Rhinolophus ferrumequinum: one gene and its partners. The protein of the gene in region 1 interacts with the protein of each later gene in a pairwise test. Links are inferred from orthologs where the notes say so. Each region holds a gene or a part of one and is shown in the gene's direction. Other genes may lie near its edges.

Evidence for each region.
Region 2: the proteins of NRIP1 (region 1) and CIB1 interact in a two-hybrid assay, tested with the Homo sapiens proteins (2 studies listed by BioGRID and IntAct). The link is inferred for Rhinolophus ferrumequinum from reciprocal best matches to the Homo sapiens genes NRIP1 and CIB1.
Region 3: the proteins of NRIP1 (region 1) and ESR2 interact in a two-hybrid assay, tested with the Homo sapiens proteins (2 studies listed by BioGRID, with this or other methods). The link is inferred for Rhinolophus ferrumequinum from reciprocal best matches to the Homo sapiens genes NRIP1 and ESR2.
Region 4: the proteins of NRIP1 (region 1) and RORB interact in a two-hybrid assay, tested with the Homo sapiens proteins (2 studies listed by BioGRID). The link is inferred for Rhinolophus ferrumequinum from reciprocal best matches to the Homo sapiens genes NRIP1 and RORB.

What each region holds. Positions count from the first base shown.
Region 1 is NC_046285.1:11,293,161-11,300,695, forward strand, and holds the start of NRIP1 (nuclear receptor-interacting protein 1), read left to right. Parts: upstream 1-4,529; 5' UTR 4,530-4,840; exon of another isoform or gene 4,841-5,001; intron 5,002-5,635; exon of another isoform or gene 5,636-5,826; intron 5,827-6,050; exon of another isoform or gene 6,051-6,376; intron 6,377-7,535. UniProt on the Homo sapiens protein: Modulates transcriptional activation by steroid receptors such as NR3C1, NR3C2 and ESR1. Also modulates transcriptional repression by nuclear hormone receptors.
Region 2 is NC_046311.1:4,054,689-4,061,749, forward strand, and holds the start of CIB1 (calcium and integrin-binding protein 1), read left to right. Parts: upstream 1-4,045; 5' UTR 4,046-4,202; coding exon 4,203-4,253; intron 4,254-4,376; coding exon 4,377-4,411; intron 4,412-5,398; coding exon 5,399-5,507; intron 5,508-6,088; coding exon 6,089-6,239; intron 6,240-6,372; coding exon 6,373-6,491; intron 6,492-6,573; coding exon 6,574-6,662; intron 6,663-6,871; coding exon 6,872-6,893; 3' UTR 6,894-7,061. Other genes in the region: GDPGP1 (GDP-D-glucose phosphorylase 1), read right to left, coding at 1-547. UniProt on the Homo sapiens protein: Calcium-binding protein that plays a role in the regulation of numerous cellular processes, such as cell differentiation, cell division, cell proliferation, cell migration, thrombosis, angiogenesis, cardiac hypertrophy and apoptosis.
Region 3 is NC_046289.1:31,538,854-31,546,347, forward strand, and holds the start of ESR2 (estrogen receptor beta), read left to right. Parts: upstream 1-4,481; 5' UTR 4,482-4,524; coding exon 4,525-4,943; intron 4,944-6,812; coding exon 6,813-6,985; intron 6,986-7,494.
Region 4 is NC_046295.1:40,121,114-40,128,877, forward strand, and holds the start of RORB (nuclear receptor ROR-beta), read left to right. Parts: upstream 1-4,758; 5' UTR 4,759-4,807; coding exon 4,808-4,847; intron 4,848-7,764. UniProt on the Homo sapiens protein: Nuclear receptor that binds DNA as a monomer to ROR response elements (RORE) containing a single core motif half-site 5'-AGGTCA-3' preceded by a short A-T-rich sequence.

The sequences.
Region 1 (7,535 bases):
ACTACATAAGAATTTTGAATCTAAAGAAATCTAAAAGAGATATGTCAGAGTCTATATCAATTTCTTTTGAGGGTTAAGCAATTGCACAAATTGTGTATATACATAATTTTCTTTCATAGCTTTATTCCCTACAGAACCTTCAATTATTTGGGAAAACAGATATGTACTTTGCTTTAGTTGAAAGTTATCTGAATACAATCTCTAAAAATTAATAGGCTCATGATTTACCCAACTGATTTATATACAGATGTATGTTTGTAATATCCCAAAAAGAAATTTTGTATTCATTTATGACAGTATTGCTTAATGAAATCTACATAACCCATTTCTACATAAAAAGATAAGATTCCACGTAATGTTTACTTTCAATCACTTAGACATGTTAAACTAACACATCATCAAAACTGACAGGTTTTCCTTACCTTCACTGGGATTTCTTGCCTTTAGATCCCTAACTATGCTAGACGTTTTCTTATTGGGGGAAAAACAAGACATTGTCCACATTTGTATTTCATTGCTGTGCCTGCCTTTTTCTCACACACTTTCGGCTGGTTTCTGTTGGTTAGTGGTGTTTAGCTATACTGTTATAACGACCACTCTATTTTCAGACTTTTTTTTAAGATCCAGTTTTCAGGATTTATTTTAGTGTAGAAATTGAGTGCCCTGGTTTTGCCAGTTCTTGGCACTCAAGCCCCACTGAAAGTAAAAGGCTCCAATCTCATTAGGGAAAACTGCATAGTAACCTGCAGACAGGGTGTCTAAACATCTTTATTTTAGCTCCTTAGACCTTTCTCAGTACTCAGGGCACTGCAGCACATCCTAACTGCTGCAGCTTCCAGCAGGTGACTGCCTCAAACAAACGATGGGGTGGAATTTACAGTCCTCAAGTAACTGGGTAGGGAGACTTGAAGAGCAAAACCCTGGGCCTCTTTATCCAGGAAGATGCTTGACAGGAATTAGCATAGTGGTAGTTCTGTGTTCTAGGGAAGACCATTTTTTTAAAAGCTTATTCAACCCCAAATGTATAGTGCTTTATTTCTGCCATATAGCCAGTTTACATTTTTAGTCCACCACCAGAGTTACTGGAGACAGTAGTTGTATCTACAATATGGTTAATGAGTACACAGTACATAAAATATAAACGTTGCTGCTTCTCTAATTGGCATAAAAGCCTAGATGCAAGAAAGTAGTCTTTATAACATAGTATAGGTAAACACCAGTAACCAACAAATAAAACCTGAGGTTTAACAAGATTTAGGTTTTCATTTTTAAAAATGTCCTTTAACGGTACTATTCAAGATTTCATTCATTCTCTAAAGCTGTGCTGTCCAACACAGCAGCAATTAGCTACATGTGGCCATTGAGCATTTGAATGTGACTAGTCCAAATCGAGATGTGCTATAGGTGTAAAAGCCACACTGGAGTTTGAAAACTTGGTGTAAATAAAAGAATACAAAATATCTAATGAATAATTTTTATGTTGTGTACACATTGAAATAATACTTTTGACATATTGGATTAAATAAAGTATGTTATTAAACTTAATTTTACCTTTTTATTTGTATTTTGAAATGTAGCTACTAGAAAATTTAAAAGTACATATGTAGCTTACATTTGTGGCTCAGTCTATATTTTTATTAAACTGTGCTTCTCTCGAGGCTGAGACTAACTACATCAGCGTGACTACACTGGAATTCGACCTGTACTTGTATATATTTTTGTCAGTTGTCATAGTTCATTAGTCACTAGTTCAAAGTTTATAATGTGGGTTCAATACTTCTGAATATATATTTTTGTTTTCTTCACACTGTTCTACTTTTAAACGGTGTTTGCCCTCTCCTGAGAACCCCTTTCCCACTTTGCCTACTTGGCAAATTCTTCTTACCTTTTAATAGTCAGTTGAAGCATTATTTTCTCTGTAAAATTTTCTCTGAACTCCCTTGTTCCACACCTGCACCCCAAGTAGAAATAAACACTCTGTTCTCTGGGATAAGACAGTATCTTGCCCAATATCTACGAAATGCCTACTGTTTGCTGAGCACAGTGATAGGTGGTCGAGGTATCCAAATGTGAACGAGAGGGATATGGACCCTGCGACTGTAGTGTTTGCATTTAGAGTGGGATACAGACATGTAAACACCAGGTCACAAAATGATGTGGAAAATGCTCTTATAGGAGAGATCAGGGAGCACATATATACAAAGCTCTCCCAGACTACTTCTTTGTGGATAAACATAGTGAGCCTGTACTATAAGTATTTGATCCCTTAGGAACCCTTGGTTCACAAAATACTTATGTTTTTAGGTATATAAACTGAAGGACATCTTTTTCACATCACCACTGGTTAAAATGAGAATTGTCTTTAAAACACAAATTACTGGGAGGGGGTTGGGAGCCTGGGTCAAACAAGTGAAGGGATTAAGAAGTATAAATTGGCAGTTACAAAATAGTCATGGGGATGTAAAGTACAGCATAGGGAATATGGTCAATAACATTATAACTGTATATGGTGTTAGGGGGGTACTAGACTTATCAGAGGGATCACTTTGTAAACTATATAACTGTCTAACCACTACGCAGTACACCTGAAACTAACATAATATTGAATGTTGAATGGCAACTGTAATTGAAAAAAATTTTTAAAAATACAAATTACTGAACAGGCATTCTTATGTTACACATATGCCCCAGTATCCTTGCAATGACTCTCCTAGCCAGAAAATTCAGGTATTAATTTTTTTAAAAACAAAGAACAGTAACAAAATGGCTCCAATTAGCATGATTAAGTAAAAATGAATTCCACAAAAGGTGTGCAATTTACTTAACATTAATGCACTATCAAAAAGAGATCAGGATTTCAGTGATTGGATTTCTGTGGAGTTGAGAGGATAGATTAATAATAAGAGGTGAATGGCGCTGTTAAGTCATGTGACAAGTGGCAGTAGGGTTTTTTACACGAGTGTTGAAGGGCAGGACTAATGCTTGGCTTGTTGGGTTAATTGTGTAACCTCACGCATTAGGAGGTTGTTTATCTACCAATCTCAATGATCCAAAACCTAGTTAGGAAGGAAAAAAAAAATGTTTTTCAAAGCAACATTTGAGCAGTCCAGATATCTATCCCAAAGTCTATGCACTAAGGTTCACCTGCCTTACTCCTTGGTGAGCTGCACAGAACCTATTTAGTTTTACTTTACATTGAATTGTGACAAGTGAGGCTATCTGGATTTCCCAGTCTGCAGCAGACTAGAAGCTGCAAATCGGAAGAGGAAGAGAATATCAGCGACAGACGTGTGCTGGCAACACAGAAAGGACAACAGATTGTTGGTTAGTGAAGGGGGAGAGAGAGGAACTATAAAAGGCAGAGATAATCACTAGGTCAGTGTCCTAGAGTCCTTTCCTGTAGCCATTGGTAGCTCACATACCTTCTGGAAGCATCCCTAACACCTAGGAAGAAGCCTTAGCGCACATTGAATGGGAACTTGATGTATTTGTTGAATGCAGTAGAACCTACTACGATAAATACTTTTTATAAAATTAACCCTGAATTTTCAAGAAAAAGCCAAAGGAAGTCCAGTAAATTGCTTAAGAGAAACATTGATGATACATGTTATAAAATCTTTGTACAAGTTAAAAAGAATTAAAAAAATAAAGTGACGCCTTAGAGGGCCAAGCTCTAATTATGCTGATCCTCACTTAATTTGAACAGTTTGCATCACTCCTGGATGAAGGATGTACTATACAACAGCAGACTTAGCACTAAGTTCCCTTGAGCAGCTTTCAAACTGCGGTATATGCAAATAATAAGCTATCATATGAGAATTAAACTATATAGGATCACAACAGATTGCAGTTGAATCACTAGGTGATGTAAAAGATTGTTCTAAAATTCACCATCACCATTAAGCAGAGTAGTCCTACTATGTGCCTAGCCCTACTATGTACTAGGTGCTGGATTTATTAAGCATTAATTTGAAAAACTGCTTTCACTTTTAAGATTGTGAAGATATTCCAAAACTCTCATTCATATTTTTAAAGCATAAATGAAATTTTAAATGCACAATACAGCCATTACATAACAGGCATAGAATACTGTTTTATGACTTGCATAGTTCTTTTTAAGCACACTAGCAACTCTATTTTCAAAAGCTATATGATTCTAAAGGATATGAAAACCTACATATAAAAACGGAGTGCCTCATTTGTTTTGTGTAATAAGTGTGATAACACAGGCATGCCATTTCGGAGTTTAGGGTGAGGCTTTAAGCCGTACTTTGGTGTTTCTATATCAAGCAAAAACAATTTCAGCAACAGCACTCATTTCCCCCTCGTCTTTTTTTTTTTTCCTGGCGAGTTACTAAATGCTAGATGCTAGAGTCAAAAAGAAACCTGACATCTGGGGAGGTGTTGAGGGGGTGTTAATAGTTATAGTTAGATGTTTGGGGAGCGTTGAGGATAAGATTTTATAACAGCAAATACAAGAAGGGAGAAATTATGATCTCTCCTCCCTCCACTTTCTCTCTTCACCAATCCATATTCCCTCAATTTAGAGGCGGGTTCAGCGAGATTAGGCTGCAGGAAACCCAGAGGCTCCACAGCGCTGCCGCCCGGGCCTCGTGATGTAATTGTTATTTCTTATTCCGAGACTGAACCGTGGAGAGCTGCCGAAGAAGTGGCAGCCTTGTTCCTTTCGCCTTGTCTGGCAGGGTCAAACTCTTCCCGGGGATGAGTATATTCGCTGACAAGACTCCGCTGGTGACTTCGCAGTGACAAAGCAGCTGAAGATAAAACCCTGCTCCTGGGTCCTTCGTCCGTCCAAGGAGCTGAACGGGACACTCCTCAGGTCTCCTTCCCAGTTTTCCTCTTGGAATCACTCCGCATTTATTCCTGGGTGCCTACTACGTGCTGGGCGTGGGGTCAAAGTGACCTGGAGTTAGTGCCCGTCCACCCTGTCCCCCTAAGATTAAAGCAGGACACACAGATCACAAGGTGGTGAAGTTGGGGGTGAGTGAGAGGGAGCCAAGGGAACGCGTGCTGTTGGGTGAAATGGGAGGAGGCGCCAGCACCCAGGCGGGGACCCTGGGCGTCCCGGCCCCCAGGCTGTGCCCCAAACGCGAGCCTTTGGCCTGTGTAACGAGAACGACGCCCCGGGCCCCAGGGAGGAGCTGTCCAGGCGCCTTCGGCAGTCGGGGGCGGCTGGACAGAGCCGGGAGCCCGGGGGACGGCTCGGGTGCGAGAGGCGCCCATCTCTCCCGGCCACCGCGGTCCTCCCGCTGCCTCGGGGCCCTACAGCCCCCGCCCGGCCGTTCGGAGGGCGGGCAAGGAGGAAAACAACACAACAGAGGGGGCTCCTCAGCTCCCGTGAGCGGCCGGGACCCGCGTGGCTTCCTCCGGCCCCGTGACAATGGGAGGGAGGGGGAAAAAAGGGTTAAGAAACTTGGCTGAGGAGCTGAATGGCGTGGAGCGGCGAGGGGAGGGACTGGGCCGCGGCGGACTCGGCGGCGGAGGGAGGAGCGCGGCTGCGGGCGGGCGGCGAGTGAGGCGCTCAAAGTCAGCCTCGCAGACATTGCAGCAGAGCCCCGAACTCGGGAGGCGGCGGCGGCGGCAGCGGAGAAGGAGGAGGAGGAGGCGGCCGCGAGGCGGAGGGACGACCCGGCCCCACGCCCGCCCGCGCGCGCCCGCCCGTGGCCTCGCGTCCGCCGCTGCGCTTGGCAGCGCTGCGGCTCGGAGGGAAGAGCTCGCCCGGGCGCCGAGGGAGGACGGGGCGGCAGGGCGCCTTCGTGGAGTGAGCCTGACGGAGCCCGAAGCTCGGAGCCGCGGCGGCCTCGGGTGAGTGGCGGCCGCAGCCGGGGGGCTCGGAGGAGCGGCCGGCGGCGCCGCCGGAAACGGCTCGGGAGCGCGGCCCGCGGCGGCGGCGGCGGCGGCGTTGGCGGGCAGGGCCGCGGGGGCGTCGGGGCGGCGAGGCCAGCGCGACCCGCGGCGAGAGCGAATGCAGACAGCGGGGAGGGCTCGGCGGCGGGGAGGAATCGTTTCCGGGGGAATCCCGCCTCTTCTGCCGGCTCCGAATCTCCCCGGGACCTCGGGGGGCCCGGGCAGCGGGGCCGGCAAGTTGTGGAGTTGGCCCGGGGCTCACTGGCCGAGCTGTGCCAGTCCTGGGTCGAAGGGCGGCCGTGTGCCCTGCGAGCCCGGCCAGACGCGGGGGACCGGGCCGGGGTCGCGCCCCGCTCGGCTGCCCCCTCGGCCCCGAGTCTGGGGCGCTTCTCGCCGCGCAGCTGTAGGTCCTGCTGCCCGGGGCGTCCTGGGCGGCGCCGGGCGCCGCTCCCCGCCTATCGCCCGGTGCCTCCCTGCTCTGAGCTTGCCTGATTCCCGGCCAGGAAAAGTGAGTAGGAAAAGGGACAGCGCTCCCAGACCCCCAGCCCCACGCGCGGCCCGTCGGCACTGTCCTTCCCCCTCCCGAGTGCGAGCGCCCTGGACCCGAGGCCTCAACCATCAGCTTTACCCCTGAGCCAGAAAACGGACTCACATTTAGGGTGAGCCCGTGGAGATCTTGGGAGCCTTCTTTTCTCTCCCCCTTCATCTATGTTCTCCTTACTACTAGTGATTGTTGTTGTTTTATGAAGGGTTTCCCTGGAAATATTCCACAAACCCTCCCATTCTTTCCAAAATAGTTGACAAATTTTCATCAAGAGTTGGTTGGTGTTCAGTCTGAAGGAACAAAGGAATCAACTGTGCCTGAGAGGCGAACGAGCTGGGAGTCAGTGACACATGTTGATCTCTGAAGCATTACGGGAGTTTCTACCTTCTGTCCCATTAGTGACTTAATAGGCTTCTGGGGATAGTAAAGTAACAGAATGATAAATACTTTTGAGTTTTTAAAATATTTTTTAATAGGACATTTTATTTGGAGGCAAAAAAAAAAAAAAAAAAAAATTCCCAGCTCCAAGGACTTTTCACTCACTTGGTGGAACTGAGTTGGAGTTTGTTTCCAGTAATGTAGAAGATTAAATGTGAGATTGTACAGGAAAAACTGTCTTTAAGGGAAGGAAGATTGTCTATAGATGTCCAAAGGAAAAATGATTGTCAGTTTTTATATGATAAATTCTCTTTACATTTTTGGGGAGGCATTTCTGAAGTAAAGGGCTTTGGTAATTCATTCTTTAAAGTTATGAATTGCGTTGAACCTGCTTATTAGTGAATCATAGGTTTAGCAAGTGGGTGGCATCTTCCTGATGTAATTATTCAATGTTTAATCACCAGTTTGCTACCTTTGTTGAAGAGACACTGAAGTAAGTGGACGTTTTAAACAAATGGTGCTTCAACTGCTTGGCACCTAAGTGTGGGTTGCTGCCTGGAAGATGTTGAAATATTTTTCCTTCGAAGTAAGTTGTACTGGTTTTGCTCAGCCATTTGGTAATGTGGATTGGGTTTAACTGGTTCAGAGACTAGTGGATTCATGACCAGTAGTAACTTTTCTCTGCCTGCAATTAGTTCCTGGAGACAAAGAAGAGGCAGTCAATGGAACAGCCACTGTAGGCTGT
Region 2 (7,061 bases), on another chromosome or scaffold:
GCAGCAGGCGCTGGGGTAGCCCCCGGGCGGGCTCCGGCACCAGCAGCACATGGCCCCACTCCAGGGGGCTGACATTGATCAACACGAGGATTTCCTCTTGCTGGAGAACATCTGGGAGACCGGGCTCCCGGTGCAAACGGAAGAGGACTTCTCCTGGCCGGATTTTGTTGAAGTTAAACTGTTCAGGGTCAAATGGCTGCCTCACGCTCCTGATGTTCTGGGGGGGCCTCCTCTGCACCCCTCGCTCCACATTCAACTGAGCCACAAAACCCACAGTACCAGGGAGGGTTTGGGTCTGCAGCTCCCCCAGGCAGTAGCGGAACAGCCCCAGCTCCATCCGCTGCCTCCAGGCAGAGCAGAGCACAGTGTCGAAGCGAGACAGCGGCAGCGTGTTCAGGAAGCTGGGTACGTTCCTCGGCCACTGAATCCCTTCCTGCATGAGGTCCTTCTGTCCATAGACAAAGTCAGGAATGCCTTGCCCTTCCCAGTCCTCTTTGTTCGGAGGTAGCAAATACGAAGTTTCATTTGAACCATGTGGAATAGCCATGGGCTGACCTGAAACAATCATAAGGGGTGAAAAACACAAGATGCCAACCCTTTTCCATAGATTTAATTTTCAAATAAACTCTACTTGTTTTGATTACAAAAGTAATATATGCCTTTGGTAAACATTTTGAAAACACAGAAATCACTCATAATTCTACCACGTGTAGATTAGCATACATTTTTGCTAAGTTAAAAATATATATTGGAATTAAAAAAAATTATATATGCTAAGTCAATTTTTTTTTTTCTTTTTTTTTTTTTTAACTTTTATTTATATAAGTGTGTTTTTCCAGGACCCATCAGCTCCAAGTCAAGTAGTTGTTTCGATCTAGTTGTGGAGGGTGCAGCTCCCAGTGGCCCATGTGGGGATCGAACCGGCAACCTTGTTAAGAGCACCGCGCTCTAACCAATTGAGCCAACCGGCCACCCCTGAGTCAATTTTCTTAATGGAGAAAAAAAAAAAAAAAGATAAAATACAACCCTAATTTCAACGTCCAGGGAAAAAAAAAAAATCACTATTTACACTTGGCCTAAGTTTCATATACAGATGGATCTTGATTTGTAATTGTACATACAGGTTGTTGCTAATTTCATATTATCATACAGAAGGTTGCAATGAATATCCTGTGTATCTACCTTTGCCTATATGTTTTTATTTTCCTTTAAAGTAAAATCCCAGTAGACCACTGGGTCAGAGTAGGCTCATGGCTCAGGCTTTAGATATACTCCGTCACACTGCTCTCCAAAAAACTATACCAGTGTTCCAGTGTATGAGAATGGCCAGGGTTTCAAAGCTGACCATGCCTCCTTTGATGGAGATAGCTTTTCTACTGTTCGGTAGAAAAGTGATTCCAAATGATTGTGCATAGAGCCACTTGGGTGAGGGTGGCCCGGTGTGTGCATAAATGCCCAGCCAATACTTCAAGGGGGAAATTGGTGCCTGTCTTCATCTCCCACTGGGGCCCTGGAGTCCCGTGGATCCAGTGGTGTCCGGGAGAGAGACCTGCTGTTGGCGCAGATGGAACTTCAGAAGGAGACTTACCTCAGTAGAGTTGCTGCAGTCCAACCTTGGGTTCCCTCTGCTCTGCTGGTCCAGAACCTTCACATTAATAAAACAAAGGGAAAAAAGAAATAAATAAAAAAACATAAAAAACATACAAATGACATACAAAAATTTAAGCTGAGTTTCACGGGTATAGAGTTTCAGTTTTGTAAAATAAAACACTTGTAGATCGGCTGGCTGCACAATGTGAATATACTTACACGCTATTGAACTGTACACTTAGACATGGTTAAGATGGTGAATCTTCTATGTTTTCTTACCAAAATAAAAATTTAAGTCAAGCTAAGCGTAATTTTGACAATAACATGGAAAGGCTTAAATTATTCTATTAAAAGCGAGTTTCAAACATTTCTCCAAAGAAGATACACAAATGGCCAACAAGCACATGAAAAGATGCTAACCATCACTAATCATTAAGGACACGCAAATCAAAACCACAATGAGACACCACCTCTCACCCATTAGGATGGTTACTATGAGAAGAAAAAAAACAGAAAATAATGGGGTTGGTGAGGATGTGGAGAAATTGGAACCCTTGTGTACCGTTGGCAGGAACATAAAATGATGCCACTAAATGACGGCATTTCCATAAAATGATAGAAAACAGCACGGTAGTTCCTCAAAAAAGTAAAAAGAGAATTACTATACGATGCAGCCATTTCAACGTCTGGGTATACGAGGCTGAACCAATAGGGCCTCTTGATATCCTGGCTATGGGGACTGTAGCAAGAGGGAGAAGTGGGAGTGACTCAGCTGCCGAAACTAGGTACACTGCAGTGGCATTTACAACGAGAGAGAATTTAGCTTAGTGCTAAATTTCTTGGGCAAAAAAAGCCTACTGTCAAGATCATCAGGTTCGGACAGAACTCCACCGCAGTCACTTTGACTGGCTGTGGTGTTCCCATTACTCTGCAACCTCCGCTTCTTGGAATGGAATATTTCCACAATGGTGGGGCTCACACGGTGACATAGGGAGTCTTACCAGAGTCGCTCTCCGATGATCACCTTACTGTTGAGTGCTGGGAAAACTGGTCACTCAGCAAACACTTCCTCAACAACAGCCACATATCAGGTCCTAGAGATCACGATTCTCATAGGTCATCAGTCTAGTGGTGGAAACAGACATTAACCCAATCATCACCCAAGTAAACAAAAACTGCAAACATAATACATACTGTCAAGGACGATCAGAGTACCCTGACACTCTGAGGGGGTAAGAGATTCCTAATCTAGTCTAGGGAATCAGGAAAAGTTTCCCTGAGGATAAGATGGAAGAGGAACTGAAAGCCCATAGTGGCTGAAACACAGAGTCTGAGGAGACAGCAGAGAGGCTCAAGTCAGACTACAGAGGGCTGGAATTTGGGTTTCAAACCACTAAATGGTTGTAAACTAAGACTGACATGCTCAGATTTAGATTTTACAAAGATATGCACGTAGAATTAATTGGAAGAATCAAGAATTAATCCCTCGATTTTATCTGTCATGTATACCTCAATAAAACTGAAAACAAAAGCGAATTCTTCTCACCTCAACCTCCTCCTCTCAGCAGCCTGGACAGCTCCCCTTTTGGGATAGTGTAGGAACCTGCACTATCATTCATGCTTGCATCCGATAAATACTTACTGAGCCTACTCTGTGCCAAGCATTGTCCTAGGGGTTTTCAGGGGCAAGAGCTAACAGGTCAGCACAGTCTGGGTGCAGGGTGGAATATTTCTACAACAGTGGGGCTCACAGAGGAAGGCACATGGGTGGGAGTGAAGGGTACAACAGTGGGGAACTTTGAAGAGAGACTGAGAAGGGAGTGACGACTTTCTAAATGCCAGAGCCTACCTACACAAGTCTCTCAATCTCTCGGGACCTCTGTACTTCCACATTTTGAAATGGTACCCTACCTCGTAGGGCTGTTGTAAGAATCGAAGTAACTATGCACACATCTTGGCATTAGGTGGGTCCTCAGTAAACAGCCTCAGTAGGCAGCAAAGTTATGGTTATTTCTGGAGCGGTGGCAAGAGCTCTGCAACACGCGAGGCGGATGCCGGGTGGTAACGTCTGGATGGAAAAGCAGTCCCTGAGCAGAGGGGTAGTCGAGGGCCTCTGGCCACTCAGCGAGTTTTTCAGTTAACGTGGCTCCAGAGACTTCCCTTCTGCCTCTTACCGGACCTCGCCCAAGGTCGCCGTCGCGACCACCTGCTGCTGGTGAGGAGGATGAACCGCGCGACTTGGCTCAAGGTCCTACCGCGGCCATTGCGAGGGCGTGGTGCTCTCAACGCATGCGCAGCCTGCACGCACGCACGAGGCGTGCCCCGCCCCTCTCATCCCCGGAGGCGGAGCCGTGCAGCCTGGGCCCCGCCCCGGAGCGTCCGACCCCGCCCTGGGGCCCGCCTCCAAGTTGCCGGGGACCGCCCGGAGCCGGGAGCCGGCGGCGGAACCCGGCTGGGATCTCCTGGGCGCGTTAAGGAGGGGGCGGGCCCGGGGACGCGGGCCCCAGGGGCGGTTGCCGCGGGGACGGGGTGGGGACGCGGCCCGAGGGCGGAAGTGAGAAAGTTGCCGGCGTCCCGAGACGAGTCGGCGGAGCTGTGCGCGCGGCTCGGCGATGGGGGGCTCGGGCAGCCGCCTGTCCAAGGAGCTGCTGGCCGAGTACCAGGTGCGCGGGACTCTGGGCCCCGGGGAGCTTGCGCGCCGGCCTGAGCTCGGGAGCGGAGTGGGAGCGGGCAGGCGGGCGCGGCCTCCGGGCTGTCCGCTGACCGCGTCTTGATCTGCCTTCCAGGACTTGACGTTCCTGACCAAGCAGGAGATCCTCCTGTAAGTGCCGTCGCGAACCTCCTCTCCGGGATCCTCTAGAGATGGCTTTCGGGGGGCTGTCTTACAGATGGGCAAACTGAGGCCCCGGCAGAGGGAGGGGCCTGTCTGAAGTCGGCCAAGGAGCCGGAACTGGAGTCCAACGCCCGAGCCCTCGGCTGCGCAGGGCTGCGGGCACGCCCTCCCCGCCCGCACGGGGGCCCCACCTGTGCAACCTCCAGCCGAAGTTGGGCGTGCTGTCACTCTGTGCTCCACTGACCTCTGCAGACCCGAACTGCCCGGCCCAGGCCGGCGGGGGCTGCTGTGGCTCTCGGCTGATTGCCTACCGGCAAAGCCAGAGAAGCCCTGGGGAGCCTGGCTCCTTCTCCCAACTTTAGCTGAATACAGAACCGTTAACGCTTACTGAGCACTTACTCTGCGCCAGGAACGGTGCTGAATTACCCCTACATTACCTAATTTAATCCTCCCGAGGGAGGTACAGGGGCAATGAAACAGGTCCAGAGAAGACTGGTAAGTTGCCTAAGACTCTGAGAAAGAGGATTTGAACTGGGGCTGGAACCCCCTTCCTAGCCGTGTGCCAGCTTTATGTGGCCAGAGCTTCCCTTGGCTAAAGTAAAACCAGTGGGAAGGAGGTGGGGCTGCGGAGGAGATAGATCCTTGTGGCTCCTAAAGAGGGAGGCTTTGAAGAGCAGACCCCTGGCTTTCTGCCCTTTCTCCCTGTTCTTCTGGCTCCTTTCCCAACCTCCGTCTCTCAGGAAGCTCTAGAATCAGTGCCCAGCACACAGTAGGCCCCCTGGAAATACTCAGTGCAAGATTGGATTCCCAGCCTGTACCATCTTGTGACATCTATCCTGGCTTATCAAGCCTGCCGACTCAGTTCTGTGTGTGTGGCTTAGCTCCTCACCTGGTGTGCAATGGACAGTACTGGCAAGAAGCAGGAATGTAATACACACAGGAAGGTACACCAACGGGTCCCCCTCCTTCTGCCAGAGCCCACAGGCGGTTCTGTGAGCTGCTTCCGCCGGAGCACCGGAAGACGGAGGACTCACTGCAGGCACGAGTGTCCCTGGAGCAGATCCTCAGCCTCCCAGAGCTCAAGGTGCCAGAACCCCCACCCTCCCTCTGCTACTCATCTTGAGGTCCTGCGGTCACTGGTTCTCTTTCTGGTCTTTTCTCTGTTTAGCCCTACTTTCCTGGGAGCAAGGGCTTTACCTAAATCACCCACTGGAACCATCTAGAATGGTGTTTTTCAAATGGGGCTTCTAGGGCCTGTCTTGGAGCATCAAAGAGGGAATTGAGTTACCTATTCAAGGTTTGAGAAACCCTGTTCCAGAGGCTATTGCCTCTCAATAGGGCTGCTAAGAAAATTTCTCTGTCCAGCGCTCATTGCACAATAAGCGTTCAGTTAACTCCTTGTGTTATAAATAACCAGCCTATCTTGTTCTCTTTGCTTAGGCTGCTTCCCTCTTCCTTCTCTGCCCTCAGGCAGACCTGGGGGTTAACCTCTGACTCCCAGAAGCTGCCCCGCCCCGTCCCCAGCTGGGTCACTGGTCCTGCCCCCATGCTGGCCCCAAAGTGCAGGTCATTCTCCCCCACGAGCCTCCTCCCTCTCATTCCCGGTAAGGTTTGAGTGTGTGACTGGGCTGTGTCCTGCGGCATTCACAGAGGCTCTCTTCCTAGGCCAACCCCTTCAAGGAGCGAATCTGCAAGGTCTTCTCAACCTCCCCAAACAGAGACAGCCTGAGCTTCGAGGACTTCCTGGACCTCCTCAGTGTGTTCAGTGACACAGCGACGCCAGACATCAAGTCCCACTACGCCTTCCGCATCTTCGGTGAGGCCCGGAGGAGCCCGGTGGCACTCATGGCCTTCCCCGTGGTCTTCCCAGGGGAACTGCTGGGAGCTGGGCGTCACCCTTGGAGCTCATCCCCACCATATCCTCTTGGGCTTCTGTGTCTGCTGTCTAGATTTCGATGACGATGGAACCTTGAACAGAGAAGACCTGAGCCGGCTCGTGAACTGCCTCACAGGAGAGGGCGAGGACACGCGGCTCAGTACTTCAGAGATGAAGCAGCTCATTGACAACGTGAGTATCCGGGCCCCGCGGGGATGGGCCCAGGAGCCGAGGGCAGGGCTGTGGCTTTGGCCTGATGTTTTCTCTTTCCCAGATCCTGGAAGAGTCCGACATTGACAGGGATGGGACCATCAACCTCTCCGAGTTCCAGCACGTCATCTCCCGTTCACCGGACTTCGCCAGGTATAACACCGGACTTCGCCATGTGGTTATGGGGGTGGTGCCCGGTGGAGCCCCCCGCTTCCTCTAACTGTCTCAGGGTAGCTCTTCTTCCAAAGGGAACTGACAGATGTGGGACACAGTGCATTCCAAAGGGGAGAGATGGAAAAGGTGGCGTTACTCCTAACACTTCACTTCCAGCAGAAAATCCAACCCACTCTTCTTTTGTTTAGCTCCTTCAAGATTGTCCTGTGACGGGAGCCACAGCGTGTGTCCCAGAACCTTTCCAAAGAACCTTTCCACTGCTGAGCTGTGGCCAAGGTTACGCCCGTGTGCCAGAGCCGCCAGGCCGGCCCAGTCGAGCTGGCAATGCGCAGTTTGTCCTGGGTGGGGGAGGGCTCTCCATGTCAGGGCGTCTCCCCT
Region 3 (7,494 bases), on another chromosome or scaffold:
GTGTGAATGTACTTAATACTACCCTACTGTACACTTAGATGGTTAAGATGGTAAATTTTGTTATGTGTATTTTACCACAATTAAAAAATTTGGAAACTGCTAATTTTGACAGTAGCTAGCATTATATGCTTTTTCCTGCATATTTTCTCTTAGGAATCAGGGAGAGTTATGTTGATTAGGCATCTAATTGAAACACGAAATTATATACTCATGATTAGTAAATGCCCATAGATGTAAAAAATATATATATATAAAAATTCCTCGATCCTATATTCTTCTCCAGCTACCAATCTCTCTCCTATCCCTTGTGGTCAATCAATGTTGATTAGAAGTGGTAGGTAGCACTTTTGTATTAGGTCCTTCTTCTTTACCTGGGCCGTTCTGCCTCCTTTACCTGGCACGATGGCTCCTTGAGGCAGGGTCCATGTCCTGGGACTCCTTTAGCTCTCCTGTCTCAGCACAGTAGCACGCCTACTGAAAGTGCTCCCATCTTTGATTAATAGCCTTGACTTGGTGAAATCTTATATTTTAAACTCATTTCCTCATATTCTTTGCTTATAACAAATATTTATTGAGTTGTAGTGGAAGGTGAATATAGTGTGTGCCTCCAAGGAGTTTAAAATCTAACTTGTACTTACTTCTTTCTCTCCCATCCCAACTCTACCATTTCCAAGAAGGATTCAATGTAGTTGTAATCTAATATAAAGGATTAAATTGGTTTGTAAATAACTATAGGGGTGCTAAGAGTGAAAGAAGTACTAAGGCATAAAATGCCAACTACTTCAACAGTGCATTTTGCATATTCTTTAAGGACATCGCTGGTTTCCTGTAGGAAAATAACAAGAGATCAGAGTGGAATGATGGGTTGGGGCAACATAGTGGAATGCCTTGAATGTTAGAACAGTGTGACTTACTAGAGAGGTTGGTGGGAAGCAGAGGGCTGATCAGAGCTGGGTTTTAAGAATGTTAACCTGGCCGGTCGTGGACCTGGAGAAGGAGCTAACTAGGGACAAGGAGTAATAAGGAGCCTGTTACAGATGCGCAGATAAGAAGTAATGAGAACTTTCAGATGGTGGCAGAAGACAGAGTGGGGAAAAGATACTCTGAAGTGGGTAAAAAAATGCGTTGGTGATTCAAGGTAATTGGATGAAGAGGAGAAGTCAAAGGTAACTGTAACGGGCTTTGTCATGAACACAAATAGGAAATGAGTGGTTTAGGGGAGGAAAATGATGAATATTACTTTGGATATTGTATTAATTAACTAGTGCTCTGTAACAAAGTATCATAGAATTTTTATAGCAACTTAAACAACGAACATCTCACAGTTTTTGGAATCAGGAATCCAGGAGCAGCTTAGCTAGGTCGTTCCAGCTTAGGTTTTTTCATAAGGTTGCAATCAAGATAATTGGCCAGAGTTATAGTCATCTGAAGGCTTGATTGGGGCTGGAGAATCTGCTTCCAACGTATCTCACTCCCATAGCTGTTGGCTGGAGGCGGTAGTTCCTTGCTGGCTGTTAGCAGAACGTCTCCATAGGGTTGCTTAAGTGTCCTCACAATATGGCAGTTACTTTTCCTTAGAGTGAGAGATCCAACAGAGTAAGCCAGGAAGAGGCTGCAATGCCTTTTATGACCTAGTCTTGAAAGCCACATACCATTCCTTTTGCCATAATGTATTCATTAGAAATGAGTCATTAATCTAGTCCATGCTCAAGGGGGAGGTTAGGCGACACCTTTTGAAGGGAGAAGTGTTGAAGAATTTGCAGGCTATTTTCAAACCACCATAGATATATTGTGTTTTGAGGACAAATGGAGGAAAAGCATTCAAATGAAAATGTCACGAGGAAGGTAATTCAGAGCCTTAGATAGCTAAGTTGCCTACATATGGAAGTAGGTGATAGCTGGAGTTGAAGATATTAAAGATGGAGAACTTCTCAAGGCAAGTTTCTTTACTTAATGATCTCTCTCAAGGAGTCTCATTATTTATTAGTCATCTATTGTTCCCTTTTCCACATTATATTATTCCAGTTATTCTTTTTTTTAAGGTTTCCATTTTTAATCTTGTATTTTTTTGTTTTTTCTCCAAAGCTTCCTATGAAAAATTTCAAACTTATGGAAACATTGAAAGATTAGCATAATGAATGTCCATATGTCCACCATCCAGATTCAATAATTGTTAACATTTTGACTTATCTCTATCTATCTATCTATCTATCTATCTATCTATCTATCTATCTATCTATCTATCTAGTTATCCATCCAAATATTTTTTTTCTGAACTCTTTTTATTAGGTGGCATTCTTTTGTAAGGGGTTTCCCTCTACAGAGCCTCTTTAAAAGGCAGGGTACAGGCTTAATTTTTCCCCTTAATTACTAATTTTCAGAATGAGGAACTGGTGTATCAATCACTATCGATGGTAATAAATGATTCTATTCTTCTTTTTTTGATTAACACTATGGACTCATAGCCCAGAGGGTAAAAGTATATGTAATTTTGCTATATATTGCTATTTATATTACTATATATATAAATATCCAGGGGGGTTGTGCCATTTTGCATTCCCACCAGCAACATAGGAAAGAGTCCCTGTTTTCCACAGCCTTTTCAAGGGAATCTGTTGTCAAATACTTGAATTTTTTCCAAACATGATAAATGAGAAATGGTATCTTGGTAAAATTTTAATTTGTATCTCTTTTATGAATGGGATTGAGCGTCCTTTTATGTGTTTTGCTTTCTCTTTGTGTGTATGTTCTATTTGTGTCTTTTGCCTGTTTTTCTAGTGTATTTTTTTGTCTTTTTTTTAAAATCTTAATTTAAGGGTTCTCTTTATATACTGGGGACATTATCCCCTTTTTTCTAATCTAAGTTGAGAATATTTTTATTTCCAAGTTTCATTAGTCTTTTGACTTTGCCTATTGTGTGTTTTTATGACATGCCAAGTTTTACTTTTATGTACTGAATTGATGTGCTTTTATGTACATCCTTTTTTATTGCATCTGGATTTTTAGCCATAGTTAAGGTTTTCCCCACACCCATTTTATAAAGGGATTTACTTTGTTTGCTTCCAGCACTCGTGCAGCCCCTACCTGTCCTTTCCCCCTTTTCCCCCTTCCTTCCATTTCTCTTTTAACATTTGGATCTCTGAACCATTTGGAGTTTATTCTGACATGCATTCTTTTTCCACTGGCAATTCGGTTGCCCACTGTTTTCCCAGTGATTTGAGATGCCACCTTTATCATATACCAAATTTCTGAAAACATTTGAGATTTTGGTTTTGCTGTTTTGGGATTTTCCATTCTGTTATGTAGCAGTCTGGGCCCAATCAGAAGATAGAAAGCACATAATAGGTTGAACAGGGGAGGTTTAATATAAAGAATTACTTATAATTAATTACCTATGGTAAGGGACTAAGTATAAGATATAAGGAAACTTTATATGGTACCCTAGAGCTGAGAGAGCAAACCCAAGGAAGGACAAACTTAGAAGGGATCAGACCTCAGGGGGGAAGGTGGTTGGACCATTAACTGGCAGAGATGTTCGCTGATTTAGCCAGGCTGGAGCTGGTCAGGAGTTGCAGGCCGGGAGCGGGTGCTCAGTGACTGGCGGTGTGGGCATACCCCAGGAGGCCAGGTGCCCATGGGGGCAGAAGACCTTCAGAATTGCAGGTCATGTGGAGTGAGGAGGCTTGCAGGGGGAATGACTTCTCAGCATGTGACTCCTCAGGCCACAGTCTGGACAGGTGATTGTGGAAAGTTTATCACCACACAGAGGCCGAAAGTTTGCAGTGGGACCTCCCTGTGGACACGTGGCTGGGCCAGACTCCATTGCATGTTCTCAGACCCACACTGCCACCCTCGTCTTGCTACAGTACTCCTGCAGCGCCCTCTACTGAAAAAGTTTAGCATTGGCTCACTTTAAATACTACAGGAATTCCATTTATTATAGAGCATATATTGAAGGGTGCATTGGAAGCTGAGAGACAATGAATTGATAACTGACACAGTTACATTGACCTGTCTATTCCTTGTTTTTTATTATTGGCAGTTCACAGTGTATTTGAGTATCTATTAATGCTGGTCCTGCTCATTGATCTGCTCTTTCAGAGTTTTCCTGGTTGTTCTTGTTTATTTGTTCATAAGAACTTTAAAATAAACTTGTTCCATATTAAAAGAAGACAACTTATTGACATTTTAATTTAACCCTGTGTTTTTAATTTTAAAAAGCATTTTATAACAAATTCTCATGGTAAAAAATATTCTTGTGGTTAACAACAACAAAAGCAATAAAGAAGTGAATGAAGTAGAAAATGAGAGTTCCGTGCCACATATTCCCATCCCTCTGAGGTTAATATTTTCATGTATATCTTTCAGGATGTATTTCTAAGTTCATACAAATGCGTGTATGTGTTTAATAAAAATGTGTGAACACTTTGAACAGGTATGCCTGTAGCTCCAACTAACTTAGAACTGTCCTTTGTTGTTCTTTCCAGCCATTATACCTGCTCATGAGACTTTGAGAACATTACAATGTCGCTTTGTGGCTCTTCTCGCAAGGAGTTTCCTCAGATATTACCCATTCAAGACATGGATATCAAAAACTCACCATCTAGCCTTAATTCTCCTGCCTCCTACAACTGCGGTCAATCTGTCCTTCCCCTGGAGCACGGCCCCCTATATATACCTTCCTCGTATGTGGAGAGCCACCATGAATATTCAGCCATGGCATTCTATAGCCCTGCAGTGATGAATTACAGTCTTCCCAGCAGTGTTGATAACTCGGACGGTGGACCTAGTCGACAGACCACAAGCCCAAATGTGTTGTGGCCAACTCCTGGACACCTCTCTCCGTTAGCAATCCATTGCCAGTCATCACTTCTGTATGCAGAACCTCAAAAGAGTCCTTGGTGTGAAGCAAGATCATTAGAACACACCTTACCTGTAAACAGGTAAATCCAGTCTTCATTCTGAATTGTATTTCATGAGCATTATTCAAATCACTTTATGATTTAGTGAGAAGAAAGATGTGTATATACAAGGTTTTTATTAGTCATATAGATTACTCAGAGCATCTAAAGCGTGATATTCTGAATTCTAGAATATCTATCCTGATATTTTAGCTGTCATTAAAAAGTTGAGCTTGTAGATTTGTGTGGTGGGGGAGAATTCACTATCATGACTACTGTCTTTAAACAATAAAGATTGAACTTAAATCACATTTCTCTTGATGAAGTGATTTGTCTTTGAAAAATACATTTTTATTTTGCTTTCAGTTTGAATCCTTCTTATCTGGTAGTGAAATCACAAGTTAGTGTTCATGACAGATTGCATCCAGGATATAAGTACCTGTGGCAGTATTACAACTTAAATGAAATACTTGACACGTGAAGCCTGAAAAGACAGACAATTGGTATACTAACTTTTTAACAATGGACTAAAATAATATTTTGTAGAGATTGATGGGAAACTGTTTAAATGTAGACTTTAGTTGAAATTTTTAGAAGTTAAAAAGAATATTTGTTTATACTCTTTAAATGCAAGGTAACACGGTGGTTATTGCCATTTAATTCGTAATATTTTTAATGATAATTATAGCTATGGAGGGAAGGGGTGGTATAGGGAGACGCATGAGGGGGAGGTAAACTTCTAAAACAACCAAAGTCTAAGTTACAGCATGTTGGATATTGAAGTTCATTACTTTCAAATGCTGTCATAAAGCTTTGAGAAAGCCATATTATACAGGGTTTTAATTTTTTCTTCCTTTTAAAGAACTTTGTTGGCAAAATTAAAGACTATATAGAAATTGTACATAGCTTTTTTAAAAGTTTTCATTGTCTTTCATGGAAGAAAAGTTTGGTTTCTGAGCATGAGCTCTAATCAGAGTTCTGCTAATATTTGGGTAATTTAAACCATAGTATAATTCCCTTCATTTATAGATCAGTCACACCTCTACTATTTCCTTTCCAAAAGAAATGAACCCCAGGGAAATCAGGAACCAGACGGGTGTGTTTTGGGGGCCTCCCAGTGCTCCTTTCGTGGGCTCTCCCTTCATCTACGGAAGTCCTTGCCCCTCCACTCGGCAATGAGCACCTGCTTTCTTCAAAGCCTTCTCTCAGGACACGCGTGTGTTCACTCTGTCTCCTTCTGTTCTCTCTTCCCTTTTTTCTGCTCCCTTCCCCTCCCTTCCCTTCCTTTCCCTTCCTCCCCTCTCTAAACCAGAATATAGCATTCACCTCAATGTAACTTAAAGTCCATTTGCTACTCCTCTTAAAGTTCTTTTCATCCTAGACCTTTATCTTAAATTGCAGAATGAATTCTGAATCCCAGGTTACCTGGGAACTCTGAAGGGCTGTTGAGGGCCCTGTGGGGATTGACTGCCTGATGCGTGGGCGTGGTTAGGTGAGTTTAGGCCCCTCCGTGCATGTCGGTGAACTTCGGTAACTTCGGAAGGCCTCCACACACCTACTCGTGGTTCAGAACTGTGGGCAGGACTCAATCTGGTCACTTATCCCATGCAAAGCTGTGCACCACGATGGCTACAAGTGGTCTTCCGTAGTCACTAGTGCTCATCAGTCCTGCATGGAAGGGCATAAACTCACCTAATCACCTGCAGACCTCAGTCATTCCAGCAATGGGACCCTTCACAGATCTCAGTAACAGAGGTTTTGCTTTAGCAGATTTCCTGGAGTGTATTTGTCATAAACCCTGGAGGGCAAAGAGATAAATGGGGCAATGTTCTTGCTGCTTTTCTTTCTCCCTAGAAAGTTCCTCCTTTCCCCTTAATGCTCTTTTCCAATGAATGTTTTCTTTGCCTCCAGAGAGACACTGAAAAGGAAGATTAGTGGGAACAGTTGTGCCAGCCCTGTTACTAGTCCACGTTCAAAGAGGGATGCCCACTTCTGTGCAGTCTGCAGCGACTACGCGTCGGGATATCACTATGGAGTCTGGTCGTGTGAAGGATGTAAGGCCTTTTTTAAAAGAAGCATTCAAGGTATAAGCGTATTGTTAGCTGCTGCTTTAGTTTTCACTTACTTTCAAACAGTTTTGCAGATGACCTGGCAGAAATGTCACTGTTGGCCTGTTTGGTACTCAATGAGCAGTTCAGAAGATCATGTGTGTTTGGGGGTGAGGTAGATGGGAGGGTGGATTGTTTCAAGTGTAGAGCGCTTTATCTTTCATTGTAGATCTCTACCCCAGAACCCCAGACCTCAGATGGTCTCGCCCTACCATTATCCATCACCATCTTCTTGAGAGCAGATATGTAGTTACAACCCTTGTGAAGATAAAGCCTGGAAAAAAATGCACACTCATTAGAAATTGCAAAGATTGTTCCTTCCCTTGACTTATGCTTAATACCCGGCATGGGTAGCAGTCGTTATGGTGGGCTGGCTCCTGAGGAATAGAGAATAAATACATTTTATGGAAATGGTCAGAAATCAGGAATTCAATTCTGATGGACTTTGAGCATTGATCTCGGGGTGTTTCTTACCCTGAACTAGT
Region 4 (7,764 bases), on another chromosome or scaffold:
CTCCATACATTTTATTGACTCTCTATGCTAAACACTGGGAGACACACAAAGAAAGGGTTTTATCCCTAAGGAGCTTACAGTTAAGGAAAAAGATAACCATATAAAGAGGATTAATGAAGAACACCAGGACCAAATGAGTGGTGGAGACATAGGAGCCCAGGGGAATCACTGCGGATGGAATGGTCAGGGTATGCTTTGCACAGGTGGTCGGAGTTGAGCTGGGTTTTCAAGAATAGGTTGCATGTGGGTAGTTGGAGCGCAGTGGAGCGAGGCCTTCAGGAGGACCATGGAGGAGAGAGAAGTGGCATGAAAAAGGAATTTGGGCCAGAATCCTTTGGATAGACGCCTTTGGCCTTGGATCACAGGGTGAGTGCCTGAAGACAGAGCTGATCTAGGCAGGCTGTGAAAAAACAGGCCAAAGAGGAAATTAGGTTTATCTTGTGAATCATGGAGAGCTGAAAAGTTTTTGAGAAGGAAAATGATATGACAAAACTAGGACTCTAGAGAAATCCCAAACATTTCTTCCTTCTTTCCTGACCATATACCCCTTATACAGGCTGGCTCCCCATACCCTCCACCCCCACCCCCACGTATGTGTTCCTATCTCCAACCCTGCCCTTTGTTACTAGGGGAATGCGCAAACTCTGTGCATCAGGATGCCACTGAGTCTGTTCGGATATTCTTTGATACCCACTACCTGGTTGGTCAGAGCAGGAGCTAGATTTTTTCAAGGATTAGGAGGCATGAGGAGATACAACTTTCTAACCTGAGATTTGGCTTCCAGCACCCTATGAATATCATATTTCCCCCAAAATAAAACCAGGTCTTATATTAATTTTTGCTCCAATAGACACATTAAGGCTTATTTTCAAGGGATGTCTTACTTTTTCATGTACAATAATCTACATTTATTCATGTACAAAAATCTACATTTATTCAAATACAGTCATGTCATCTTCTTCTGGAACATCGTCATAACTCTCCAAACCCTGAATTCTGGCTTGACTTTCTTGTGACTCCAGTTCCTGTAGAACCATTGGCTACAATCTCTCATGTCCAGCAATAGAGCTCTCCTTAAATGAGCACTTCTTGTCCGTGTAGCCTGCTCATAGTGCACTGGCAACACAGCGGTCAGTGATTTTATCCCATGAATTCTTCACCCAAGTCATGACCTTTTGCAGGCTAGGCTTCTCAAAGCTTCCACGCTGATTTCTCTCCATTCTATTTTCAATGAAGTCATTGATTTCCATGTGCAAATGGTCCCTGAATGGCTTATTTATTGCAATATCAAGAGTCCGGAGATACTCTTGCGGGAATCATTATTTGATCTATTCTTCTCACTGCAAGGAAGTTCTTTATGTCTTTAGCGCGGTGAGTGCTGGCTGAATCCCAGACTAGCAGACCTCTTTGGCTACCTCGCAAAACAAGTGGCAGCATTAAATTGACCCACTTCCTTATAACTGCTTGTATGCACCAGGCTTTTTCGTTTCAAGAACATAAATGCCGACACACATTCAACCTTATCTTTCTTGCCCTTAGTGATGATTAGAGGTGGGGCTTTCTTTCCATCCAGACAAATTGCCAAAATACAGGTAACACATGCACTTTTGTAACCAGTGGAGGGAATGTAGTAGATTGACAAGGCACCCTTCTGATCAATTGTCATCCAGCCAGTGTTGTGACGCTTTGAATTCTTCTGGGGATATTTCTAACTGCAGTGCCATTGCAAGGGCAATTGCTTGAATATCAGCCCTGTGCACAACCAAAGCCTTTGCTCTCCTGTCAGCAATCCATTCACAGATGATGTCTTCCAGCTCAGGAAATAATGGTTGCCGACCTGATCCACACTTGAGCTTCTTAGCATTTCCCTCGTCTACCTGTTAGCTGAGGTTATCATACTCTGCTTGCCATTTTCGGACATTCAGAGATCCAACTTCTCTTTGTAGAAAGCTGTAAGATTTTTGCCCCGGGAGTCCTCCACAATTCCTTTCTTTTACTCAATGGAATAGCTCTTTCTTTTTGCACTCATCTGGGGCTCAAAATATTATTCCCTTTAAATCTACCATTAAATCAAGTGTTAATTGAAGATGTAAGAGACAGGAGTGGCAACAAAAATGATGACAGTTAAGAATGATGGTCCACACAAAAGTGACGGAAAATTGCAGGCACCAAAATTCAGAAACATTTCTTTATTTCACACAAGTGCATTAAGTACATCTGTTACAACACACAGTGTATTGAACTATGAAGATTCATATTAGACACAACCATGTCCGTTGGTTATCAAGTGCGCACGTTTTTCCTGCGTTGTGTCTGTACTCCGATTGGTCATTGGGCAATAAGTCTCAAGTTCATCTGTTTACATTGGTGTTTACTTCTCATCCAAAGGCACCCACTTAGGTATTTACAAATACTTAATTACAGTTTGTATTATCATTTATTTTTAGTATTAATGTCAATGATATTATTTATTTATATTTAATTATATATTGATATTATTATTTTATAATTCAATACATCCATCATGTGTTGCAACAGACGTATGAAATGCGTCCATCTGGCTGACAATCTTAACTGGGGCTTATTTTTGTGGTAGGGCTTATATTACGCGCATGCTAGGGCTTATTTTCCAGTTAGGCCTTATTTTCGGGGAAATATGGTAGTTGCCTACAAATTTCGTTCCACACAAGTTAGTATTTAATAACCTTTAAATAGTTCACAGAGAATAATTCTGTTTCCTCATTTAAACTATAACACAGGAGACATCTGCTATCCCCCAAATCTGTTTACGTTCTGGCCAGAAAGAGTTTTTAAATGACTTTCTTCCTTCCCCTTATTACCAACAGGTCTAAAAATATTATTTCTAGTATTATACAGAAAACTGACAACTACAATGGAAGAATTTAAGTAGGATTAAATTGATTGGTTTTCAATACACACTGGACTGTGAGCTCCATAATATTTATTTCTCAGTGTGTAGTACGAATAGCATTAATTATTAGTTAGTTAACTAATTAATTTGTATTGACTGAATGAACAAATGGTAACTAAAGCCAACAGCTAAAATGCATATCTTGGAGATAAGTCAAGGCAAGCAGATTCATTTTCAAGTATATTTATTGAATTTCCAATATGTACCAGAACCTATGCAAAGGATTTTCACATTTACTCCTTCCTCATGCAACTCTAGTGGGTAGGTGTTATGATTTTATTTCAGAAATATGCAACCTAAGACACAGAAAATATTAAATAACTTACCCAAGAATTCAAAACCATAAGTTTTAATTCAAATTCCAAGATTCGTTCCTTGAGCTTTTCCCAAATTTATCGATCATAGCAAATACTTGAGTACTTTTTATTATAGCTTTCCAGGCCCCTCCTCAGAAGATTCTGACTCAGTAATTGGTGGGGGTCAGAAATCTGTACATTTAACATACATCTCTGGTGACTCTGAGAAACATTCCAGGAAGCTTCAGTCCTGGCAGCCCATTAGGAACACTTTGGATATGTTTAAAAACTTTAGATGCCCTGGCCACACCAAACAAATCAGTGGGAGGTAAGAGAGAAATCTCTGGGCATCAATATTTTTAAATTCTCTAGATTATTCCACTGAGCATGCAAAGCTGAGCACCACTGGGTTCAGTTCTACCACGCTAACAATAGTATTTGATGGATTTACCCAGCCTCCTCTAACCACCTCTCCACCCCTGGCCTTCCTTCCTGTCGAAAAGCAGTTCTACTACAGTGTAAGCCAGAAAAAAAGCAGAGATGTTTAAAAGAAAAGAGAAATAGAAGGAACAGAGATCAAGAAACTTTTTGTGACAAGGGATTAGTGAAAAGGAAATGATAGCTGTCAAAGGTGGTGGGGATGTGAGGGCTAAAGAGATAGATTTGAGATTTATCGTTGAAACAATTTAGTAACTCTAAGCAAAAGTTAAATAAAGCGGACAGTCATGTGAGTATTTTGCTCTCCCATTAAGGTCGTGCTGTTTTCTATGGAAGTCAAAGCAGTTTTTACATATTCATATATTTATCCTTCCTAGTGACAAGGGTGGAGGATCAGAAATTTCTGTCTGTGTACCTTCATCATTCTTATAAGTGGGAGCACCAAGGCATGTTGTGAGAATGAAGTCACTTTAGATCTCAGGGTTGGGCCCAACTGGCCCACCTAGTATTAAATGCCCAAACTGGTTCCCAGGCTTTGTTGCCACTGCTGCTATAACTAAGATATGCATATTTTATTTGACTGTAAAATGCTCGTGTTTATCAAGAACTTTGGTCCAGTATTTGGGAGAACAGGAACATGGTATTACCTGTATGCAGTCCTTCATCCCTGGAAGTCAAGAGAGGATCTAAAATAAATGGAGCAAGCTAATCCTGAAGGAAATTTATGTTATATATTTATAATCACAGAGATAACTCTGTTACATGGCATATGCCTATTCCAGTGGGATGAAAATACAGGAGAATTGAAATGTAGAAACTGTATGTATCTATGTAATTCTGGGGGGTGGGAAGGAAGTGATGTTTTTAGACTGTTGATTCTGATTTAGCAAATGCTGCATTATTTTGTGAATAAGTAGTATTAGAAAGAAAAACCAGTATTCTACCTCCTGCCTTTCTTGCCTGGGCACCCTTCACCCTTACTTAATGAAATGGAACAGTTGATGCCTTTAACTCCTCTTTCATTTAATCTCATTAATGCAGTCTGTTGGGATTCTAGTTGTGGAGTAACATAGAGACAGTCGTCAGACCTCTAGTGAAAAGTGCAATATTTTTCATTTAGATTTTTAATTGCGACATCAAAATGTGTGAGAACGAGCTCAAATCTAAAGCTGACGCCACTGGTGAGTTTTACATTTTCTTTTCTCTTCTGACGCTTAGCTGTATGAACTATTCTCCAGACAAGACAGTAAGCATTCATAAGGTCTCAGAAAAATAAATTAATGGCTAGGTGTGGTAACAATAAAATATATTCTGACTTCAGAATGTATATAATAAATAAGTCACTCAGACTTTATTTTACACTAGAGAACACATTTATATATAAATATTATCATATCCTGAAGGCTACCAAATGTGTGAGTTTTAAGATTGAATTCAAATAGTCATCTGCCACATTACACCAATATGAGGTTAACAGTACAAACATCCTTGTCACAATTTTGTAGCTTTGATTTTAATCATTGACACTGCTATCATTATGTTCATTTCAACTTTTCTAATTTTTTAAAAATTCAGTTCATAAATACATTATACCAGATACTTTGTCATATGTAAGAAATCTGTTTTCAAAAAGCAAAAATTCTATTTGGTTAAACGATGATTAACAATGAGATGAATTATGTTGTTTTTTCTCCTACATGTTTTACGTGGAAGTTAGTGCATAGTTACCTAAACATACATTTCATAACATAGGCAGGTTTTGAGTATTTGTCTTAAAAATATTTCAGGAAAATATGATGCATGATTTACTGTGATTTTTGCTAGTTGCTATATAGCAGTCAGCAACAGTTGGAAATATTAAAATGTAAATCGATGGAATTGCTTCATTCAAATAATATAAACGTTACAATTGTCCAAAAAGTTACTAATCAAACTAAATCTTATCTAAACTCAGCATTATATCTTTCTACAATGCTTACAGATTCCTGGTGCTTGTATTTTTAGAGAAAGAATAGATATTGTTTCAAGGCAATTATTTACCGGTTTCAAAATACACGTGTTTAAAAACTTTATTGGTGAAATAAGCCATTAACAGCAGATTGCAGTTCTGATATCAATGAAGTCTTAAACAACTATTTATCCTTATGACTGACAGATTTACTCAGGATATTGTTGCTATTGTTGTTCAGAAATTAATAACACTGGACGTATTAACGTCTATGTACTTAATCCTCTTTGGGTTTGAATTACAATTAGCAAAGGCTGACAGGTGAGCATAAATGTTCTTCTTTCCACTTATTTGATGTAAAAAGACACATGGATTTCCTCTGTTGTAAAATTACATAAAACACAGTGTTTGGTTTTAGGAGCTTACATCTGTATGCAAACACACAACTCATTTTCTAAATGAACTGCATGAATAAGTGTGTCTTTACATTTTGCAAAGAAAAGCAGATATTTTACTTTCCTCTTAAATTTTAGTGGAATTAAAAGGAATATCCTAAATTAAAGCTGCAGCTTTTTTTTTAAGTTACTACAGTAGAATACTTGGTGCCATGATTAGCAATTTCTGGTTTTCACCAGTCTTTTTCTTCTATTATTTCCCTCTATTGTTATTTTCCACCAATAATAAGTATGTCTGCTATTTTAGAAGTAATTCAAGCCTCTAAAGAAATGTAAAAAAAAAAAAAACCAAAAAACTTTTTCTCCTACAATTCAGTCCACCTGGTAGCATCAAAATTCCTTTGGTAGAAATTAATGTGTAAGAGAGACAGCTAACAACCATAAATATCTCCAAGCAAATGTAATTGTAAACTATCAAATAATGATTACGAATTTTCTGCTTGTACAAGAAAAAATTCAAAAGGAGGATTTGTTAAAATGGAATTTGAAAATCGCAGTCTCTATTCTTACTACTTTGTCATCGTGTTCGTACAACTCCTTCACTAGCTTACATAAACGCTGAATAAAGCTGTTAAAGATTACATGCAACATGCTGGATCTGATGAGCTCAAAAATAAGATAACTCGGGTCCTGTAATATCTAGGATTATGCTGGTAATCTCTTTAGGGAAAGTGTACAGTCTCAGCAGAACAGGTACCGCAGTCTTCAGAGGAGCCATGCACTAATTCTACATTTGTTGGGTGTCTATGCTTTTGCCTACATGGATACAGGGTATATGTGACATTTATCATAGGGTGAAATTATAAAGAGAGCTTCTAGAGTGACATCCTAAATTATCACTTTACCCCTAAATAATTTCTGGTGCTGCATGCTGAGGAGAATACCTTCCTCTAAATTCTATGTGTCCCCTTCTTTGAAAAAGGGCATCTATGTAAAGATGAACTAAACCCAAACATGCCTTTCCACAGCCTCTGAACTCATTTATGTCTCTAGAGATGAAGTAAAAATTAAGATTGTCTCTGTAATCCTATAGTTTCTTTTTATTTCAAGATTCAATGCTGAGGCAATGGCAGATGAATTGCAATTTGCTAGAACATAGATGATATAATAATGTAATTCTTAATACAGAAACTTGGGATATATTTTGCTATTATAGCATTGTTTATGTTAAAGACAAAATCAAAGCTCTTGTATAAAATGCAAAAAATGAGTTCCTAAAATCTGAGTTCTTATACAGCAATCACTGGTATCATTATATGTCCAAGGTGTTCTCCCATAAGTGAAAACTCCCTAATGTCATGTTGAAGTGCCTATTCATACAACGTTTTCCCTAAGTCAACCCTCTGATGGCAAAGTAACTCTTTGGGGCTACTGGTACTGGTTGTTCTTTTTCCATTTCTCTCTTTCTCTCTCTTTCTCTCTCTCTCTCTCTCTCTCTCTCCCTCTCTGACACACGCAAAACAGGTGTAAATATCTCACCCAAGTTTTGAAGTTGTTTATATAATTATTTGCTGCATCAAATAATTTGCTAAGGGCATATTAAAATACAGAAGTGTTTTTAAATATGACAGAGTGACAATATTACTGTTTAGTTCTCTGCCATTCAAGCAAATTGTAAGCTGTTATGAGTCAGTTAAATAAAGTTATTATTACATTAGGAAGAAAAAATGTTAATATGGCACTAACATTCGGATC